Schizosaccharomyces pombe: one gene and its partners. The gene in region 2 interacts genetically with the main gene of each other region. Each region holds a gene or a part of one and is shown on either strand. Other genes may lie near its edges.

Region 1 (5,450 bases), on a different chromosome or scaffold from region 2:
GTTGTGGAGCCATTGCACTACCTTGCTGTATATACATTTGTGCGTTCATTTGAGCAGCTAACTGAGTGTCAATTTCAGGGCCCCCATATGAAGCAATATTGCCAGCAACATTTTGCCTATAAGTCTCAGGATTACCGTAATTTCCAAACTGCCCGGGATAGGCCATTTTGTTTTTGTGTCAAGTTTACTTGGTGGATGTACGAATATAAGTAGGTAAGGGTAGGGCAAAATATATACCAAATAAAAAGACTGATTTGAAAGAGTAACACGATATAAATAATTTTAGATAATAAAGTGTGAAATTTGAGATTCTTCAGGAACATCAGATATGAACTGGATGCATTTCCGATTGTCAAAAGTTGACTTCCCTTTAAATTTGGAAATGGACAATTTAGCTCTATATGTAAAAAACCTCAGCTGTTTCAAAAAATGTCATTTCACATGGGCAGTGGCTCTTTAATGAAACAGCTAATAATATTGATACAGCGGAGAAAGTATCTATACACCTAGTATCTATAGCGAATAGTCAATAATGATATTCAAAACAAGTGTTATTAACCTAAATAATTTAGATTGACATTTTGAAAACTAAGAAAGAATGAATGTAAAGATAGGTATAAAAATGTAAAGCAAATTTTGATTGCAAATTATTAAAGGATAGATATATGCAACAGATGCAGTAACAAAAGGAGGGTCAAAGAACGGGGAAATCAAAATCACTGGACTCCATAAACTGATTGTGTCAAAAAATTAAATAAGATATTTAGCAAATGTTCTTGACAAACTTCGTTTAACACTCATTTTTTGGGCATTCACAAAGGAATCAATAATCACTTGAATGGCTTTGTCTATATGTGAAGGGCGCACAAACTCACTGAGCTGCATTTTTGCAAATGCTTCACTTAAACGGATAGCAGACTCCAGATGACGCACAGTAATAGGATAACTTCCAGTAGCCAGTGACTCGCGTCTCATATCGCTATAAAGTCTCGAAATCTTTTCTTCATCCATTTGCTGTAATCGAGGAAAAACTTTTTCACGAGCGAAATGGATATATTTACGAAGAAGATCTTGGGGAATGGGTTTGGCATCAATACCAGTCTCAGTAGGGACTTTCTTCAAGACATCCATATTCGGATCAAATGCAGGATGAGATCGAATATGACTTGATACAACAAAATTAGCTAGCTGTTCATCAATTTCAGGATTAACCGTGTCTTTGACGACCTGAAGGATGTCAAAACGAGATAAAATAGGTTCGGTCAGCTCAACATTTTGATTAAAAGGAATTGTAGTGTTATAACGTCCACCGATGGGATTAGCGGCAGCAATAATAGTGCACCTCGCCTGCAAGGTAGTCACAATACCCGCCTTAGAAATAGAAATACTTTGTTGTTCCATGGCTTCGTGAATAGAAGTACGATCCTGATCATTCATTTTATCGAACTCGTCAATCAAACAAACACCTTTATCTGCTAAAACCAAAGCACCCCCTTCCAAAGTCCATTCATTCGTAATGGGGTCTTTACGGACGGATGCAGTTAGACCAACAGCACTGGCACCCTGACCTGTGGCGAAGACAGCCCTATGTGCCGTTTTTTCAACATACTTAAGAAATTGAGATTTGGCGGTTCCTGGATCTCCCAACAATAAAACATTGATATCACCTCTAATTTTATGCTTACCGTTAATATTTTTGGGGACACCACCGAATAAAGCAGCAGCAATAGCAGTTTTGATAGAGCGATGTCCATAAATAGAAGGCGCCATCGATGCAATAATTCTGTTGTGAATATCAGGCGACTTTGCTAATGCCCGAATTTCCCTTTCCTCATCATCAGTAAGCCGACTTAAAGAGAAATCATCATCAGTATTACCACTGCCGTCAAGTTGCGATATGTGATTTGCTTCTATAATTGTAGCGAAGACAGGAAACCCGTTTTTGGTATTCAGACTAGCATCGAAGTTATTGCGGTATATGCCAGTAACATCAATCTCTTCGCCTGGTTTGGCAACATCAACCAAGTCCGCTAAAAGAATAACTTCACGGTGTCGAGGCAGTCTACCTGAGGGGACGGTGCCAGGTGATTCTTGTAAAGTGATCCTTTGATAGTTATTATATACAGTCCGTTCAGAGTTGATTACAAACGGACCACGGCTGGAACAGTTGTGACAGAAAGAAATTTTTACTTCAACGCTAGAGTCTTGAAAAAATGGACCCAAAGTAGCACCACATTTGGTACATGTAAACCGAATGTATTTTAATTGTGGAAAAAGCCCAGTGCGCCTAGTTACGACACCAGATACCCGTACAAGGCAATTAAGATGGGATTGTCGTAGATCGCGTAAAGTAAAACAAGTAGGAAGATTAGTGATACGAACATGAATATCAGAGTGTATTCTTTCATAGTCTGGATAATGCAAAAGAGTGGCTTCCAAAGCAACACGATCAAATATGCGAAAAATAGGTGCAGGCGCATTGGCCAAGAAATAAGCCAAAATGGGTTTAGATTCACCAAGATGGGCATAATTAACCATCAACGACTCAGCATTAACCTCACCCAATGTGCGAATACGGTTACCGTATACAGAGGTGCCATTTTCATCTGTATATTCAAGAAGGAAATTTTTGAATTCTCGAGCAATTGTACGCCGAACAGGATCAAGAGTAACCCATTCGGCAATACTATCGGCCTTTACGTCGGCAATTGATTCAAGAGGAAGTTCACCAGATTCGTCCAATGCGCCAACATTAGGTGAATATTCGTCGTAAATTCGATGTCGATGACGAGTGAAGCCTGTGCCAAGATTGGAGTCCAAATCATCATCTTCATCTTGTAAAAATGCAGCAGGTTTTGTTCTACCTGCAGCAGCATCGAGCTCAATATCACGTCGTCTCAACCTGGCATCAACAGCTCTTCGGGCCCCGATATCTAATTCTTCAAGATCGTTATCGTCATCTAGTTCTTCAATGTCATAACGATCTAGCTCCAAATTTTGTTGATAATCACTATACAGTTAGAAAAAAGTACCTTATTTGACGCGAAATGTGAAACTACTCTTTTGAAAATCAAGATTTGTTCTGTCAATATAACCGCAACCTAGGAATCCAATAAATATATTTATTTACAAGAAGGAGAAGAAATAGTATGTAATTTATATATTGATGGCAACACTTAGTATACACAACATTGACAAGACACGTCTCAAGCATAGCTATAAAACTTACCGTTCCATTCCTTCTCCGAACAAATCTTCACCTTCTTCATCCTCTACATCTAAAGCTTCTCCGTCCAGATCCTCAATATCCTCCTCCACGAGAGCTTCTGCAGCTTCATCAGAGAATTCTGGAGGAGGTGAAGAAGGAGGTAAAGAAAGAGGTGTAGCACCGAGAGAAGAATTTTCTGATTCAAAAGGTAAACTTTCAGAATCGCGGCGACCCCTTTTCCGAAAAGAATCCATCTTTGGACTCAAATACTTTAAAGATGTTGTTTCTAACTATTTTAATGCATTGAATAGCTAGAGTATTGCAGGATGAAAGAATAAGAAATGCTACAGTATATTGTTAAATTGTATTGGAAAATGTAGTGATACCTGTAAATGAAATAGAGGAGCGTAATGAGTTAGTGTTTTGAATTATTCAAAAGACATTCTTCGCAATTGTTTACGCCGTCTATTTGCCAACGTTTAGTTGCATTTAATAACTTATGGAGGAAACGGCTCATGAATTAACGGTTAAGCAATATGTTGAACAGCAAAGGGAGCTTGAAAGGGAGGCACGAGAAGTTTTGCCTTACAGCTTTGACACGTGCACTTATTCGATGGGCTATTTGAAGCAACCTTTATACGCTTGTTTGACATGTCAAAAAGCTAGCGGAAGCTTAAATGCTGTTTGCTATAGCTGCAGTATTAGCTGCCATGCTGACCATGATCTTGTGGACCTATTCAATAAACGACATTTTCGATGTGATTGTGGCACCACAAGAACCCACTCCATACCTTGTAATTTACGGAAATCCGTTGATGAATGTGGCTCAGAAAATGATTATAATCATAATTTCGAAGGGCGATTTTGCATATGTGATACGGTGTATAATCCAGAGACAGAGGAAGGAACTATGTTTCAATGCATCCTTTGCGAAGATTGGTTTCACGAAAAGTGTCTGCAGAAAACTAATAAAGGAATTGCAATCCCAGATGCTGAGACTTTTGAATGGTTGGTGTGTTCAGAATGTTCAGAAAAATACCGCGATCATCTTTTAAACCAGAAGCATGAAAGCATAGCTGGTACAGAACGAGCGCCTCTATTTCTTTCAGAAAACTTTAGGGAAAATTTGTGCCCTTGTGAATCTTGCATCAGTTTGCGTAATTTGGAGATGCCAATGTTGGTGGCAGAAGAACCTATTTACGAACCTCCTGAGGATTCTGAGGATGGAATCAGTGAGATGAATGAGGATCCCAGTGAATCTGGAGAAATGATTGAGCAAGTCATATCTAGCACAATGAATGATGTCCTTCGTATTTTGGACAGACTTCCTCGTGTACAAGCTAACGAAAGCGTTTATGCGTATAATCGCTTAAAATCTGAGCTAACGGACTTCCTCACTCCATTTGCTCGTGAAAATAGGGTTGTCACCAAGGAAGATATATCAAATTTTTTCTTGGAGCGATCTCGAATCAGTAAAAATTTACGGTAGCGTTAATAACTTTTTTGAATTCCCTTCTTTTTTGGCGTATAATTTAACGTCAAAACATGTAGGTTATACTTAATCTGGTGATGCTTTTTGTGAAACGCTGTTTATACTGGTGAAACCAGAGATATTTTCTATGTGCTTATGGTTAAACGTAATCATTTCTCTATCAAAAATGGTTTAATTGATTTTCTTAACAGAGATGGTTAATTTGAGAGGCTTACTGGGGCTTGTTGGTATACATGATTTTAATGATGATGACAAATTTGTATGTATATTTGAACAATAATTAATATATTGAACTTCTAGCTTTCTTGTCTCTCCTATTTTAACTGCACTCATTAAAATTTTTAAACCTATCTATAGTTTTGGTGGTTGCGTCTTTTATCTTTTATTTTTGATTGAGAAAGCTAAAGAGAAACCCTGTCTGGGTATTTTTTTTTTGTTATATCTCATAATGACTTTCATTTTAATTTTTTCCTAACAGTTTTTTAAGATTGAATTAACTTTATATTTTATTGTTTTCTTTTCATAAACAAAACTAATTTTCAAATAGTGTCGTTTCGTTAATATTCAGTAATTCATATTTTATATGAGCTTTGCGATGATGTTCAAGCATTGAGACCTTAGTTGACAGCAGCTCTTATCCAGCATCATCAACCACTTCCTAGCCGCCATGTCTCAAATGTCTTCAGCTTCTGTTAAATTCCCGGATTCAGTTCCCGGAGTCGATTATCCAAAACAGCTGCAACTGAAATA
Region 2 (4,415 bases):
ATGGGCTATACGAATGACGATCACGTATCCCAACATGAACATACCCATGAGAATAGTCAGGAACATCACCATGAGCATAACCACAATCATGATCACATCCATAAATACAATGAAAAATGCGACCATGAAAGCATAAGTCTCCAGAATTTAGACAATGATCATCACTGTCATCATCACCATGAAAATCATAATATGCATGGCATATTTCTGCATATTATCGCAGATACTATGGGCTCTGTTGGAGTTATTGTCTCTACTATATTAATACAGTGGTTTTCATGGACCGGTTTTGATCCTTTGGCATCTCTAATAATTGCTGCATTAATATTTGTTTCTGTACTTCCATTAATTAAAGATTCGGCGAAGAATTTGCTCTCTGTGACTGATCCAGAATCGGAATATTTATTGAAGCAGTGTTTGTCGAACATCAGTTTAAGTAACTCCGTTATCAGTTTATCCAACCCTAAGTTCTGGACAAACGAAAGAGGTGAAGTGTATGGAATACTCCATATTCAGGTGAGCATAGACGGTGATTTAAACGTGGTTCGTAATGAAGTATTTAGGAAGCTCTCAATCGCTGTACCAAATTTAAAACACATTTGTATACAATCTGAACGGCCAAACAATTGCTGGTGTGGAAAATAGTTCTTACATCAGTTGATATCCATACTTATTTACGTGTAATTTTAATTAGATGAATTAATATTTTCTTTATTAGCAAAATTCCCATTATTTACCCAATCTTTATAATAGTGTTTTGAAGGACAGACTTTCTAAAAAAACCCCGAGGTCACTTTTTTGACACTCAATCACACTTGCTTCAAAACAGTCCATTTGCAAAGTAGCAGATGTCATGTTTGCAACCTCTTGAAATGCAACTCCAAAACGATTGTGTCCATGACCGTCGTCATCATCGTCATCTTCATTGCTAGTAAAAGCGGAAGTAGAAGTTCCAACTATTAAGTACCTATTTTTTTCCTCTACAAAAGCTGCTAAAACAAGAGGAAGATGTCTAAGCTTTCCAAATTCTCGTTCTTGCTCCTTCAAGTGTTAGTCAAACGTTAAAATCAATAGACACTTACATTAATAGCTTCAGCAATCCAAAGACTCATCTTTGTTAACGCAAGGGGATGCATAAATATTTTCAGATCTGGTCCTTCGTTGATAAGTCCAAAACGAAAAGATCTCAACGTTTTAATGGCTCTTTTTTCAAGTAAGGTGATTCCAGTACGAACAATGGCTCTTTGTAAGTGCATTGCTAACTTCAATGCTCTTTCTAATGAATCGACATCGTCCAAGGCGTCGTATGCATCATAAAAATTGTGCAACCATTCTTGATTTTGAGCATTTTCAAACTTCTCCAAATATTCTTCCTCCGTCATATCCGGGCTTCGAGCGACAGTTTTGCTTTGAAGCAAAACACCTGTATTACCCATTTCTAATAATGCACTGATAGCATAAGAAACGTCACTTGCACTAAGTGTACATTTGAATCCATAAGTCCGAGTAAAACTATGGAATATCACATCGTCTAAACCATAAAACGGTGCAAATCTTTTAAGACTACTTTTCAAAGTTTTTTTTAAATCCATGTTCATGTGAATATAAGTTTGTTTACACTCCACCAGACTGAGTCCCATTTTTGCAAGAAGCTTATGTAGTCGTTTGCGTCCTTCCTCGCTCCAAATGTGAAGTCTCGAACCAACGTAAGCAGAATGAAGCATAGAATCATAAAGACTCCAATGTCTTACTAGCATAAAACGAAATTCATCTTCAAGCCGAATTGACTGATCATGGGGTGTCTTACCATGTGCGCGACCGACTATTTGATTTTCAAGTGGTGAAGGGTTCAAGCGATTGACTTCATCTTTCAATAAAGAATAGGACCTATTGAAGTATTTTTTTGAGGATTGGCAGTGAATTTCCAAGCAGGTGAGCCCAACAATCGCTAACCACAACATGTCATTATCCTCACGTCCAAGCATGGATGCTACTGCAAACAGGATATTGGTAATTGACTCGCCGTACCAACTTCCTTTCTCATAATATTCAGAAAGGATAGAGGCGAACTCTTTCCGTTTTTTCCTTTTCTCCTTAATTTCAGCTCGACGTTGCGTCGTTTCCTCTGAAAAACGCCTACGACTTCGTGCTTGATAATCGGATGAGCTGTAAGATTCCACAGATCGGTTGTCATCTTCGACTTCCTCCTCTCGCTCATTACTGGAATCGGAATTTTCTTCATCTGATAGCTCATGCGAATTAAATGCATACCAAGCATCATGAATTTTATTCATGTCTTCTTCAATATCTCCATCGTCGAAAACAAAAATATTGTTTTCAATGTATATATTATTTAGATTATGCGGCCTATGAGAATCAATTACATAGATAGATACGTCTTCCATAGAAACAAGATAATTATTTAGATCCACCATCGTTCCACAATTCAAAAGTATAATGAATTTGATATCTTCATTTTGCTCTAGCAAAGTTTTATTTGCTTGTTCAAGGTCTCGATAGCCCGATACAGGCCTAATTTTATGTGAAATAAAATCGCCTTTCAAAAGTGTGGACAATAGCTTGCATGCACAAAGCGCGTCTGGGTCTAAAGCAACAAAGAGCTGAACTGTGCATCCACCAGATACACTTGCTTCTTTAATTTTCAAGTAAGCAGAGGCGTAATCGGATCTCTTGATGAACATTAATAAATAAACGTTACTGGTGGTGGATCATGGAGGAAATTACCAGGTGGTCAGTACAAAGGAAGGTAAAGCACTTTGAGTCGCTTTATATTTCCTAAACAATAGCGCATTAATATACAAGTCAAAGCTACGCAATAGTAGTTACAAAAAAAAGAAATTTTTGTAGGCATTGCAAACAACCCTTTCTCATTTTATGCCAAATGCCAAAAATCATATTATAATTACTCTAGTTACTAAATTTTTCACTTGAGCTACCTAAACTATCGTAAAAATAATTTGTAATCGCTGTTTTCTGGTGATATAATCCAAGGTGAACATGTGCACAACGAATTTATTCCGAGCGTTCGAACATTTCGTCTTTGAATCAGTGTAATAAAATCTTAAATTAAAAACAGCAGCAACTTAAAATGCGTTCCATATATACAAAGATTCGTCCCAACCAACACTTGCAATCCAAGATCCATCGCCGAAATCACTCCAATCAACATCACGGACAAATTCAGAATGCAAATCAACTTTTCTTATGCAAGAGTGCTGTTCCGGGTCAAAAATTCGAGAAGTCATATCGTAACTTGCTGTAGCCAAAAGATCATGGGCGGAATTGGACGATTTTATACTTCGAACAGCAAGTTGGTGACCAGACAATACGGACAGAGGCGTCTTTAAATTCGCGATATCGTAACAGTAAACCAGATTGTTATTGTCGGCCGTGTAAACCATACGATGATTAGACTTGCTCCAATTCATGCAAGTAATTTGATTCGGTATTTCAATGGACATAAATTTATCGGAAGACCGGAAATCCCAAAATTTGCATAATCCATCACTTGATGTATACCCGAGTAAATTTGGAGAGCTATAATGTGTAGCAACTGTAAGAATCCTTGAATTCGAACCATTGTTGAGCGTCTGCACACTGTTAGGCAAATTGCCTAACCATAATTTGATAGTCCCATCCCAGGAGCCCGTAACTACAATTCTTCGATCAACCGTATTTGTGTCTATTGCGACAATCTCCGCTTTATGCTCTTTCCATTTATGGATGGGCTTAGAGGGCATAGTCAAATCAAATAGTCTCAAAGAACCATCACCACAGCAAGCGTAGACTTGATTTTCACAATTCTGAGACCAGCGCACACCAAACAAAGAATCCTCGACATCATAGCTAGTATTTAACGTTAGATAAATTTCATTTCGTAGGATTTAGAGACTGTTTTCATCATAATAACTAATGGTTAAAAGTGTTTTGTGCAAAAGTCTAATAATGAAGAGCAGTAATCGCACAATTACTTACTGTTGGCAAACTTGAATTCCTTTTGGCGTAACATCATGAATATAAAGACGTCCGCTTCCGCCTAATCCATAATGGGTGACAGCTGCAACAGCGATCTTGTTTTCGACAAGTGGAGAGAATTGAACACTTTCACCTAGCGAATATTGTTAGTAACGATGTACAATTATGCATTCCAAGATATTTATTTTGTTTTGTTTTCTTTTTTTTTTTCCAATAAAAAGGAAGGAAAATTAAAAGGAAACAAAACAAAACAAAACAAAATAAAATAAAATATAAACAAAATAAAGAAAATATTCAGTAATAACAAAATTTCGTATTTCTACATCATTTGAATTTAGTTTAGTTATAGTTCGGTAATATTCGTTCATTTTATTTGTATTTTTCTCAAGCAGTTGTACTATCGCTAGTACTAGTACCAT
Region 3 (4,620 bases), on a different chromosome or scaffold from region 2:
ATGATTGGGATAAAGACGCTGTTCTCGTAGAAAACGTCGACGAAGAACTAGTTGTTGACATACTTTAATAAATATTCCGAATGGACACAACCTTGAAGACTTGCCAATTCGAATTTCTCTGATTTTACTGATTCTTGCTGTAAAAAGTCTTAAAAAATTCCAATAAGCTATAACACGCTTGATTGTTCAAGCAAAGGATTTGAGTTATTTGTAGAAATAGAAATGTGCTTACTCGCCATAGTTATGAACATCGCCATGTTAGTCTAGGTCTCGAAGAGAAATCGTTATTTCATGTTACGTATAACATCAAAGTTCGTTATTGATTATTTCTTATATCATTACATCATATACCTTTGTAATGCTTAACTGTAAAGTAAGCTTATTTACAGTACGAAGCAGTTAGCAAAAGAGAAGTACATTTTTATAAAATCAATCATGCGTAAATGGATTAAATTCGGGTTTCACAGTAATAATTTATCATTTTTTGAAGCTCTAACCCCTACGGTTCAACTATTTACAATCTAATCTCGACCTTAAAAAAACAAATATGCCTCAATAAAAAAAAAAAATTTCTTACATTTAGCCGGTTTTTATTTTTAAAGATAAATAGTATCAATATTAAAAGCACTTGATTGCGAGACATGAATTACAAAATGTATAATATTCAATTTCATTAGCTCGTATAGCGATTTTGCGTTTAAGAAACTTCGAAAAGGTTTTTTTAAAAAAATTAAAATAAAAACAAAGAAAAATCAAATAAGCTCATCAGTTGCAATCGGGTATTAAAAATAGAGCAACAAGTTAAAATGAAGGAATAAAAGCAAATTACTCATTAGGTAAGGGATCCAAACTCAACAAAAAGAAAATTAAAACTACTAAAATACAAACCAAAAACAAAAAAGTCAAATATGCACAACGAATACAGACATTAGGTGCTTCTCAAACGAGAAAGATTCACGTTACCACCCCTTGCCTCAAGGAGCTTCTGATAATTTAATAGACTAATCGTGATTGCAGGATTTCCATCGGGTTGTTGAGCTTCATAGTTTAGCAAAAGCTCGATCGCCTTCATAGCGTCTTTAGTGGTAATCTGGAATTCAGTAGATTCTTCTTCGTCCGTCTCGAAAGCGCGATCATCCATGTACTGCGAAGCAATTTGATTGATTATATCCTCAGAGGAATCAACAATATTCTCTTCTGAAGGACTTATAAAATCCTCTATACGCATAGCAGCTTGAACAGAAAACTCTGAGACGAGCTCACGAAGTGGATGAATCATTTCATCCAAGGCACGCGAGGTAACGGCAGATTCATTGAATAGACCAAGAACACCGGAAAGATTGAAGGCATTTTCAATAATTTCTGGTGATATGTCTGTCGTCCATGCTTTCACCAACCATAAAATAGCTCTTAAAACATTAGTAGTATTATAGGGATTGCGTCCCAACTCATTTTGTTCCAATATATATTGAACCCAGTGTTTGCGATAGCATGCTTTTAGAGCATAGATCACACCCTCACTACAAGGCTGGGAAATAGAGGCTGAAGTAGATGGTAAAGTAATTACAGTTGTATTTCTGAGGTCATTACCAGAGTTTCGAATGTTTTCAACAGCACGCAAATGTGGAGTATAGCTATCAATAAGAAGTATGACTTTGCGACCTTCCATACACGCATCAAACCAACGTAGCCATTCCTCCATTATAGCTGTGGTCATGGATGCCTTACCATTACTTCTCCATTTGAAATTCATTACTTCGGGTTTTACATTAGCAGCCCGAAACACTCTGGGAGATTGTGAGTATCCAATAACCCATAAAGGCAAACGTTCGGTTCCCGAAGCATTACAACACACGGTTAGTGTAATACGAGCTTTGAATCGAGTAATACCTTTTATATCTTCGACTTCGGGAGTGCCATTTGGAACCAATTTCCAAAAAAGACCGGTCTCTTGCATTGTGAAGATATCATTAATATTCGTTAATCGCGTGACATCGTAAACACGAGAGAGAGGATCATTAGGTGGTTCCGTATTATTCAAAACCACAGACTCGGTGGGTTGTTCATTAATTGCATGAAGTATATGGCGCTTCCTGAAACCTTCCAACCATCCATTGCTAAAGTTCGGAACCGGTTGATCTTGATACTCGGGAATTTTGTGCCAAAGAATAGCGGCGGCTCTCTTAATTGTTTCACCGGAAAGTGTAGCATCGTCACCCTGTTGAACTTGCCATTCAAATAAAGCGGCCTCTAAAAGAGGGTATTTCGGTGGTCTGTTACGTTTCACGTCCCATGGTTTTTCTACAGTATTGTCCAGATACGAGTATTTGGAGGATAAGATCTGAGAGACGGAAGGCTGTGAAATATCTTTGCCAAACTTTTCACGGAACCATTCGATAAGATCTTGTTGACCGGAACGGTTTTGAAGTTGAAAAAAGTAGTGCCTAAGAGCGCGTTTTTCATGTTCTGTAATGGCTCTTCTTTTGATTTTTCCCATTACTCGATAGCTTTATTATTTCTAATGTCTTGAAGTGAAAATATAAGGATAGCAGAGCAAAGGTTTCTTGCCTTAATAAAACGACACTAACAGTCACGAGTTCGTAATATTATACTGAACAGCGTAACGTAATATCTAAGCTTAATATCTGTTAAGCGATGAAACAAACAGCGGTAAACAGTATAGTGAGTTTCATCTTCAAAAATCAACATATGGTCGTACCAGGTTTGGCTTTCCTAATTCATCTGGGCCAATTTTTTGCAGTGGTATAAAAAAATGAATTATTCCTGGTGCTATTTCATGGTTTCCAAATAAAAGTTTTTGGTCGACATAAACTGGATTACCAGTAAGAGTATTGTTAGTTTTGTATTTAGTATATTTGTGAAATTGCGTAAAATTGCTCAATAATAGTGCGATGAAGGAAAAATGGAACAAGGAATTAAAAAAAAAATAATTCCGCTCAGGGGACGAAGGGACTAAATTATGGAAAAAGTAGTAACAATTGATTATTGATGGGGTTACTATAAAATATTAAAAAAAAAGGTCAAACTCTATAAATGATGTATTTAAATTTATTTTTATTCTCTTTTTTTTTTTTTTTTTTTTTAATTTTTATATTCTTCAGTAAAAACTAATAATTTTTGCTAGGATTGCATTCAAGTCAATCTAAAAAAAAGCAATTTGTGTAGCAATTCACATATTTTTTTACAATTGACGGTATCATGAATTTTACTGTAACTTACTAACTGATAAATTTTCTTTATTTCGTGGATATATACTAGTCTACAGAACATGAACATATATGGAAGACAGTAGATGAACGAACATTCTACACTTACAAACGGACAGTTAGTTATCGCCTTGGAAATTCAACTTGCTAATAAAATTATATTAAATGATATGCATATTTAATTCCATTTTCCGAAATCATATTTTCTTCAAAAAATAGCATTCAAACGCCTCAAACTCATTATCACTCCATTCTTAATTGCCAACCTATATTACCAAATGCCGATGGTGCACATTGCCAGATAATCGGTTATTAGATCCGGGTCTAGAGAACGAAACCATTGCAGTTGTTAAAATAGCATATCTTCACAAGCCATTGTAAAATAAAAATATCAAGATATCAGATATTCATTAACGGTGTATCAAGAAATTTGAGCGCAGTTAACTTACAGAACCTCAAGTAGATAGGTATCGGTCGCATACCTTATCTTTCGTCCTAGTTCACTTGCGAATGTTCATACTACATGACGCCAGTCTAATTACTACTTATTCATCCCCGTTTGTAAATAACGACTCGGTAAATGCTACCTCGGTTAATTGGACTTTGTAAATGTTAACAGACTTAGCGCGACAAACCTTTGAGCGGCAGCATGGTATAGCAGAGGATGAAGTGAAAATTGGGTTGTTTTAATCAGAATTCAAAAAGTATGGTTTTCTATGTAGGATCCTGAAGAAAACTGCTTGGACTCCTTAGTGGCAGAGCAGATGACAATGAAAAAGAAAGTCTTTTTTTTTTTTTAATTTTCTTTTCGAATCCTTTCTTTCTCATTTATTTATTTATTTTTTTGATATGTCTTGTGCCCCACTAATTGAACGGCCACAGCAGTGTGACGAGGTAAATTAGATCGAAATAGTATACATTTTAAGGACCTGCTGATGAAGTAAATAAAAAGGGTTGATATCGTTAAATTGGTAAGTCACATGTTGGTTTCCGACATTGAGTTGAGAAGAATCATGTAAACATTACCAAATTCATTACCGAAACAATATGAATTAAATAAATAAATAAATAATATTTAGAGTTCAATCCAGCCGAATTGGCATTTTTTTACTTAGCAACTAACTGTCTCAAACGCACCCTGGCAGCAAAGGCGTGAAGGTAGAGAGCGTGTACAAATGCTAATGTTTTGTCGGCTTTTTACAGCGCTTCGTTGCTATTTACAATGAATCCAGCGCGTTGTTTACGGTATAACGACGCGGTAAGCCACAATAAACGGTCGATTGCTACCTCTCGTCCAATCTACCTGGTAACCGCTACCTAAATGTAAACAAAACAGTACGCAAATCCAAGCAGTAAACAATAAAACCAGCCATTAGGTTAGCCAATTAAGGAG
Region 4 (7,276 bases), on a different chromosome or scaffold from region 2:
AATAGTAAAGGAAGTAATAATCGACTAACATAGAGTAAAAATCAACCATGGGCATGTGGTGTAGATGGTTATCACGCTTCCTTAGCATGGAAGAGGTCCCAGATTCGAGTTCTGGCTTGTCCAAAATTTTTAATAAATAATGTGTTGGTCACGCAATATGAAACTGGAAATTTGATATTCGTACTAACATACGAACGAAAATAAAACACTTTCTATTTTCTGAAATTTTTACTTCAGAAAGATATTTTCGGGGGTATTCATGAATCAATAACTTTTGACAACATAAATACAATATAATTCGATCACTAAAAAATAACTTCTGTTTATTTACAGTTGCTAGTATTCCACTCTTTTTCGTTTGTTTATTTACACATTATTTTCCTTTAACTCAGAATTGCGTTAAATGATTCTTTTCGAATGTATAATTGCAGCAATGTTGATTTGTTTATTATTTTTGTTTACAACATTATACTTGGTTGTCTTTAGTAAATCTTGCCTCCTTATTGGTTACAAGTCAAACATCCATTGTAAATAGTGAGTAATTGGTGTTGTTTATTTAGGCTTAGTTCAAAGGCTTAGCTAAGGATATTATTACTATTCAGTTAATCTAAATCCTTTGTTATTTGAGCTATTTATCCAGGATGCAAATGGTTAGCGAAAGCTTTTATTTTTAAATGATCATCTTTTAGTAATATTAAATGTTTACTTAACACTTTTTTAAGCAAATGTTAGGTGAGCATCAAATTATCATTCGATGTTTGTTTATTGTGAGGGATTTCATAAATTATTAGTTATGATAAAACAATGTGTTAATATAAACGAAATGAATTGTTTTTTAATATAAATAACCCAAGGTTGAACATGTTTTACCCAACCTTTGTATACACTTCAAGAGATTGAACACGATCTCTAATTACTGAGTTATCCAACTGGCAATCACTCAAGCCTCAAAAGAGCCAAGTAACTTCGTAATGAACAGTAAAATTGCTTATCCAGAGATTAAAATATCAGGTGCCTTTCGTCCTGATAAAATACAGGAAAAGGGAAAAAGTAACCGATGTGATACTCACTGCTCTGGTAGCTCTTGGACAAGTTTTAAATCAAAGATCCTAAAAATTTGCGCTCCTCTCTGCTGTATGGGTTCTGATAACGATGAAAGCATGGCAGAAATGCCATTAGAACCCCAAGTTGAGCCAAAATCAATAGAGAACAATTATACTTTAAAAAAAAAAAATGAAGAAGGCTTCTTAAGTCAACAGGAAAATAAGTCTTCAAACCAAAATCCTTCAAAGGCTAATAACCTTTTCGACAAGCTCGGCGTAAGCAAGCCAATAACATTCATAGCTTGTATACTGCAATTGGGCGGCACCTCTTTTATGGAATCAGAACTCCAGACGAAACTTTCAACTATTAATAGCTCGCCGTTTAAAAGTTTATCCCAATACTGGAATGCTGCATACAATAAAAAGGAATCAATATCATCTTCAACGAATAGTAACATCAAATTACATTTGGCAGCTCGTAAATACCAAACAAAACCTGAAAAATTTAACGAAAATTCTTCCATTAGTCAGGTTACATCCGCAATAAAAGCAACAAAGGCATTTTCGCATTTAACTCAACCGAAGAGGGCACTATTGAAAGAAAGCAATACGGGAGATAAAGATATATTTAAGCCTCGGTATCCACAGCTTCTAAGCTGTAGATTTACAACCTTGAGCAAATTGGCGCCAATTAATAATTCCAAATCAGCACCTAAAGGTACCCACAAACCGAACCACTCAGAAAATGCTGAATTAAAAGATATAAAACAGAGCTCTGAGCTTTCTGACTTATCACTATCTTCACAGATTTTATATCCCGAATCCACGACTTTAAGTGAAATATCGCCGATATATGATTCTGAATTAGCAATTGAAAATATACTCGAATCTAAGTGCTTTGAAAATGAACAAGCCATAATAGAAGGAGTAAAAGATTTTACCGAATTTCCCGACCTAGAAGAAACACAGATTATATATTCCGACCTCATCGCTTCCAGTGAAGTATCGCCAATATATGATTCTGAATTGAAATATGAAAGTGTACTCGAATCCAAAAGCTCTAGAAACGAACAGGCTACAATAAAAGAAAAAAAAGATAATGAAAGGGTCCTCGACTTGTCACAGCAATGCACAAAGTTTCTTTTCAGTGACCAAAAGGTTATTACCCCAAGCTTTTGCAAATTTGCCCAAGTATCAGACATGTGCTCTACTGAAATTCCTTGGGTAAACTTCTTTTGTGATAACCTAGATATATGTATCGAAGATGTTCAATTCAAGAGTAAAGCCTTTTTTCCACCTACAGTAACTATTACCATCTTTGAGCACGAAGATAAAAACTTGATGAATGTCTTCGATACTAAAAATGGAACATCAAAAACATTAGTGAAACCTCAAATAACTAATAGCTGCCTTGAAAATATGCTATCACTTGTAAACAAGAACAGCTGTATTAAAAGGCTTCACTTAAAGTTGTCTAAAGGGATAATGGACATCAAGGTATTAACTCATCAGCTAATGCTATATGATCTTTATCCTCCTGCTCACCAAACATATCTATGGAAAGCATTAGAACGACTAGTGAATGAAAAGGTGAGTTTAGGAGAACTAACACCTGTTCACAAAGTAGCAGCCGAAAAGAGAATAGGAGACATCCGGATGCATTTAATTGAATCTTCGGATATATACGTTGTTACTGAAAATCATCGCTGGCTACATATCGTGTGTGAGGGCTTTAACTGTTTCTTAGAGCTTCCCGAAGTACTTCACGGAAAGAAGTTTTTAAAAGTAGATGAGGCTACAAGAGAAGACATGTTAATGTCTGCAGAGACTCCAGACGATATTTTATGGATAACTACATTGATAAGTACTGGTTCATCGATGTCACATTTTCCTTTGCATGCTTACCTGGAAGCCAAAGAGAGACAAGAATTCACAAAAAAGAACCTTTTACTATTTTGTAAAGAAGATGAGTTTTTATACTCCGACCAAGAAAATGAAGACCTTTTAGAATCGTTTGAAAGAGTTATTTCAGAAGAGTTATCCCTTTTAAAATCAAATGAGCCGTCAGATATCTCACTAAAAAAGAGAAAAAGAAGAAAGAATTGTGAGAAAAGAATATTGGGTACAATGATGTATTAAACGGCATGGCCAGTCGGAAGAACTATCCTTATGCTAATAATATATCTTCAGCATTCGCAACCATTGATATTTGCTTGACAAAGCGTTAATAATCCTATTCCCTAGGATATCATTTGTACTACCACAAAATTGAAAATAAATTCACAACGAAGTCAAACAACAGGTTTCTTTTACAAACGAACTGGCACGACCTTTCAAAAGATGTGCAATTAATTTTGTGAAACATCTGTAAGAACAATCGGCTTCCCTATTGAACTGACAACGTTCTTTCACATGGATTAGTATATGAAATCCCTATGATAAAGACATACTTTAAAAAATTTTCTCCATTCAAGAGGATCCCCATTACGCTTTATAAAGTTTATAAGCTCTAAGTTATGGCCTAAATTAGTTAGTTCAATAACACCTTGCAAGAGACATTTCCGTTTATCATGTAAATTAACATAAAGGATGGTCTGATTTCGAACATATTTCATAGTCACTGAGATTGCAAGTAGTCGTAGACTGTCATAAAGATGATCTATAATGGTTTCTCTCGACGCCCTAGAATAAAACCTAGTGAGTCTTTCAGGAGGACAAATTTCGTAGAAATTCTTAGCCTTTTTGGCCTTTTTCATATAGTTAGAAAAAATTTAGGTTTAAATAAATAATACCAATCTTTTAATAAAACCTTCATTCTCACAAAACTGACTCAATGAGGGGTCTTTTTCAAGGATTTCAGTAACGTCAATATTTTTATTAAGTTGTACTGGCTGGGATAAGGCGCCATAAACTTCTACACGATCCAACTCCTTTTGGTCATTTTTTTTAAAAGCTGGCTGTGTCATTGAAAAACCGCTATCGCTAATTGAAAGAGTTAGAAATATGAAACAACTGTGCAAGATCTTACTTTTGAGATGCTCTAGATGAGGCAAGACGTGGTTTATCTAAATCAATACGAAGTTTCAACATGAGCCTTGATGCCAATGCTACAGGATCGGCACAATTCCCATTTTTAGTTCGAAATGGTGTACTTGAGGTAAGCCATGGGTGCTGTACAACATGTTTGACAGAGTAGCGCTTAAATGGATCACTTCGAAGCATTCCGGTGATAATCGCTGATCATTAGTTTAAAGGAATTTCAGTCAGGACTTACAATAGGCTCCTGGAGACAACAAGTTCCATGGGTGGTAAGACGGGCGTTCACATTGTTTTTTATAAAGCAAGTAGTCACCAGTGTTGCTAATTGCTTCATCCCAAGGTGTGTTGCCTAATAACAAAGCAAAAAGAATTATACCGCAGGACCAGACATCAACTTTTGAACCATCATACTGCTGTGTAATTTCTGGAGCAGCGTATGGTGGACTACCCACTGGACTATTCAAAAGCCTACTTTTACCTTTATAGGAAAATAAAGATGCAAAGCCGAAGTCTGAAATCTTTAAGTTACCATTGTAATCTAAAAGGATGTTCTCAGGTTTCAAGTCTCGATGCGCGACACCTTTAGAGTGCATGAAGGAAATACCTTCCATAAGTTGAGCAAAATAAAACTGAGCGACGTCCTCATCAATACCTACATCAGGCTCTAAATTGTAAGTCCGTTAGTAAAAACGAAAGGTTCATGCACCCACCTATTTTGTCAAATAAGTCACCACCTTGAGCAAATTCAAGTACTACCCATCTCCATTGGGGATTTTCTGCTGTATTATAAAAATGAATGATATTTTTATGTCCATTGCATAGTTTGTGAAGTTGTATTTCACTAGCCATCCTTCTAGCCCATACCCCTGCATTCATACAACTAGTAGCATGTTTTTTATTGACAAATTTGACAGCATATATTTTAGCATTATCATCGTAACATAAACGGACGCTTGCTTAAGTTAGTATATAGTATTTTTCAAATCAAAATTCATACGAAGCAAAAGCCCCAGTACCTATTTCTCTACCAATATGGTAAGGAAAGTTATCTAATTTTTGAGCCATTCTTTGGTGTAAAGGGAAAGAAGATTATAATATAACACAAGCATATGTTGCAAATTTTGGCATGTGTATTATTTACAGTCTTAACATCATCAAAGACTGGAAAAGATTAAATTAAGGTAATTTTTAAATGAGTTTTAAATCTATATAATGATATAAAATTGGACTATAATTTGATATCCGGTTTTCGTTTACTTGTGTACATTAGCACATGTTGTGTTGTGTTTATAACTTACTCTCCTACCACCACGTACTCATTGAGAAACTACAGTAACAACTTGAGGAATGGATTCTGATATGCAAAACCAGAACCCTCATACTAATTCTAAAAACTCTTCTTCTGCTGGCATGGCTGTTGACGGTCATAGCGTTACAAAACGGTAAAAAATAAACAGTTTTTAGGAAAAAAGTCTCTAATGCATTTGTAGATTGAGAAGCGAATTAATGAGTTTAATGGTTTGTAATAAGCTTTTTTACTTTGTTATTAACTAGGGTTTTATGACTAGATGTCCAATACTCCTGGAATTAGTGCGTTTCCAGATTCTGATTCTAACCTGCTACATTGGGCTGGCACAATTACCGGCCCAAGCGATACGGTATGACTTTTATTTTGAAAGCTTAATATTTAAAGTATATGAATAATGCTTGGTGTGCTTACTTGTAGCTGCACTTTAATGGAAAATTAATACACATCTTTGTCATTACATTTTCATAACTGTCTACTCTTCTTTCTTCTTTTTCATACGACTAACGTAACGAAAATAGTACTATGAAGGATTGAAATTTAAAATTTCAATGTCATTTCCAGCTAATTACCCATATTCCCCTCCAACTATCATTTTTACTTCACCAATGTGGCACCCCAATGTCGATATGAGTGGAAACATATGTTTAGACATTTTAAAAGATAAATGGTCAGCAGTCTATAACGTACAGACAATTTTGTTATCTCTACAAAGTCTGCTGGGTGAGCCAAACAATGCTTCTCCCTTGAATGCTCAGTATGTTGAAAATATCTCATTTACCTTTTTTGATTATTAACAATTCTTAGAGCTGCAGAATTGTGGAGTAAAGACCCTATCGAGTACAAACGTCTTTTAATGCAGAGATATAAAGAAATCGATGAAATTTAGTTAGGCCGGTCTATTTCATACTCATTTTCATTTCTGTTTAGTCATATGGATTTTCTTTTCCTATTCAATGCTTGAAAAAATGTCTTTAGTTAAACTTTCTTCATTGATAATGGAAGTTGAAATTATTTCATCTCATCGATTAAGCAATTCCTTCATGCAATGCCACAACCTCCTGAAAACCACCGAATGGTTTTTTAAGGACCGTCTATCATTATTTAGTTCCAGAAGTTGAAGTTGTTATTATGATGCTCGATTAAAGCTATTCTTGTTTAATGCATTCCGTTAATGCAGTCGTTTTTTTAGCTTTCCGTTAGATTATAATACTATTTTATTATTATTGATTCTCAATGTCATTGTGTTATGTATTATCGCAAGACAAGTATCAATGTTATGTTGTGCCTGAATTTTTTTCTGATTAGTAATAGGACTGTATATACAGCCTAATATTTGTATTTCTAATTTTGAGCCTTTAATCCTTATGAAGCCGTATAGTGAAGTATCTTTTCAGTCTCAGAGCATTTTATAGAGTTGCTGAAATTTACACGTCATTTAAAAATTTAAGAGTTTTACCAATTATTATTACAAAAGATTTGTATTTAATTACAAAAGAAAAACTGATTAGAAAATTGAACATTTAAACTGATAGCTGAATAAGCTACTAAAACTGGCTGTTTATATGCTACCAAGAGCATACCTGCGAATGACTAGTACACCAAAGAATCTTGAAAAACAGCCGATTAACTTCGACAATCTCCCCTTGTATTTACAAGGAACCAATTACGGAGAAAATGTGCTTAGAAGTGACCCACGATGGCTGAAATGGGAGAAGTATTTACGAGAGTTTGACATGACAAGGGAGGGCAATGTAACAAATACGCCGAAAGCCATTCCATCTTCATGGAATCCCAACGATAAGTCAGATTCATTAGAATTGATGAATAACAACATGGGGGTTTATTTCTTTGGTTCGTTGTATTAATTATAATGGTTTATAACTAA

Evidence for each region.
Region 1: mutations in cdc45 (region 2) and mcm2 are lethal when combined (synthetic lethality), as found in Schizosaccharomyces pombe (2 studies listed by BioGRID, with this or other methods).
Region 3: mutations in cdc45 (region 2) and cbp1 impair growth when combined (synthetic growth defect), as found in Schizosaccharomyces pombe (one study listed by BioGRID).
Region 4: mutations in cdc45 (region 2) and chk1 impair growth when combined (synthetic growth defect), as found in Schizosaccharomyces pombe (2 studies listed by BioGRID).

What each region holds. Positions count from the first base shown.
Region 1 is NC_003423.3:1,190,647-1,196,096, forward strand, and holds mcm2 (MCM complex subunit Mcm2), read right to left. Parts: upstream 3,497-5,450; 5' UTR 3,463-3,496; coding exon 3,230-3,462; exon of another isoform or gene 3,011-3,229; coding exon 751-3,010; 3' UTR 562-750; downstream 1-561. Other genes in the region: COPII-coated vesicle-associated protein Sfb3, read right to left, coding at 1-166; ubiquitin protein ligase E3 component mlo2, read left to right, coding at 3,708-4,697; SPOM_SPBC4.06 (acid phosphatase), read left to right, coding at 5,368-5,450. UniProt on the Schizosaccharomyces pombe protein: Acts as a component of the mcm2-7 complex (mcm complex) which is the putative replicative helicase essential for 'once per cell cycle' DNA replication initiation and elongation in eukaryotic cells.
Region 2 is NC_003424.3:4,723,090-4,727,504, reverse strand, and holds cdc45 (DNA replication pre-initiation complex subunit Cdc45), read right to left. Parts: upstream 2,734-4,415; 5' UTR 2,703-2,733; coding exon 1,083-2,702; intron 1,042-1,082; coding exon 745-1,041; 3' UTR 659-744; downstream 1-658. Other genes in the region: Golgi zinc importer, CDF family, Cis4, read left to right, coding at 1-645; pex7 (peroxin-7), read right to left, coding at 3,105-3,867, 3,997-4,129. UniProt on the Schizosaccharomyces pombe protein: Required for initiation of chromosomal DNA replication. May have a role in regulating the MCM proteins nda1 and nda4.
Region 3 is NC_003423.3:3,509,843-3,514,462, forward strand, and holds cbp1 (ARS-binding protein Cbp1), read right to left. Parts: upstream 2,529-4,620; 5' UTR 2,498-2,528; coding exon 929-2,497; 3' UTR 585-928; downstream 1-584. Other genes in the region: protein tam12, read right to left, coding at 1-61. UniProt on the Schizosaccharomyces pombe protein: Binds, preferentially, to the Maundrell ARS consensus sequence within ARS3002.
Region 4 is NC_003421.2:1,057,891-1,065,166, reverse strand, and holds chk1 (protein kinase Chk1), read right to left. Parts: upstream 5,372-7,276; 5' UTR 5,148-5,371; coding exon 5,080-5,147; intron 5,035-5,079; coding exon 4,793-5,034; exon of another isoform or gene 4,747-4,792; coding exon 4,318-4,746; exon of another isoform or gene 4,280-4,317; coding exon 4,072-4,279; exon of another isoform or gene 4,026-4,071; coding exon 3,836-4,025; intron 3,791-3,835; coding exon 3,494-3,790; exon of another isoform or gene 3,449-3,493; coding exon 3,392-3,448; 3' UTR 3,183-3,391; coding exon of another isoform or gene 972-3,182; 3' UTR 724-971; downstream 1-723. Other genes in the region: protein Meu27, read left to right, coding at 972-3,182; ubiquitin-conjugating enzyme E2-C Ubc11, read left to right, coding at 5,430-5,524, 5,573-5,600, 5,651-5,740, 5,910-6,145, 6,196-6,277; gid1 (putative Ran GTPase binding protein), read left to right, coding at 6,978-7,242.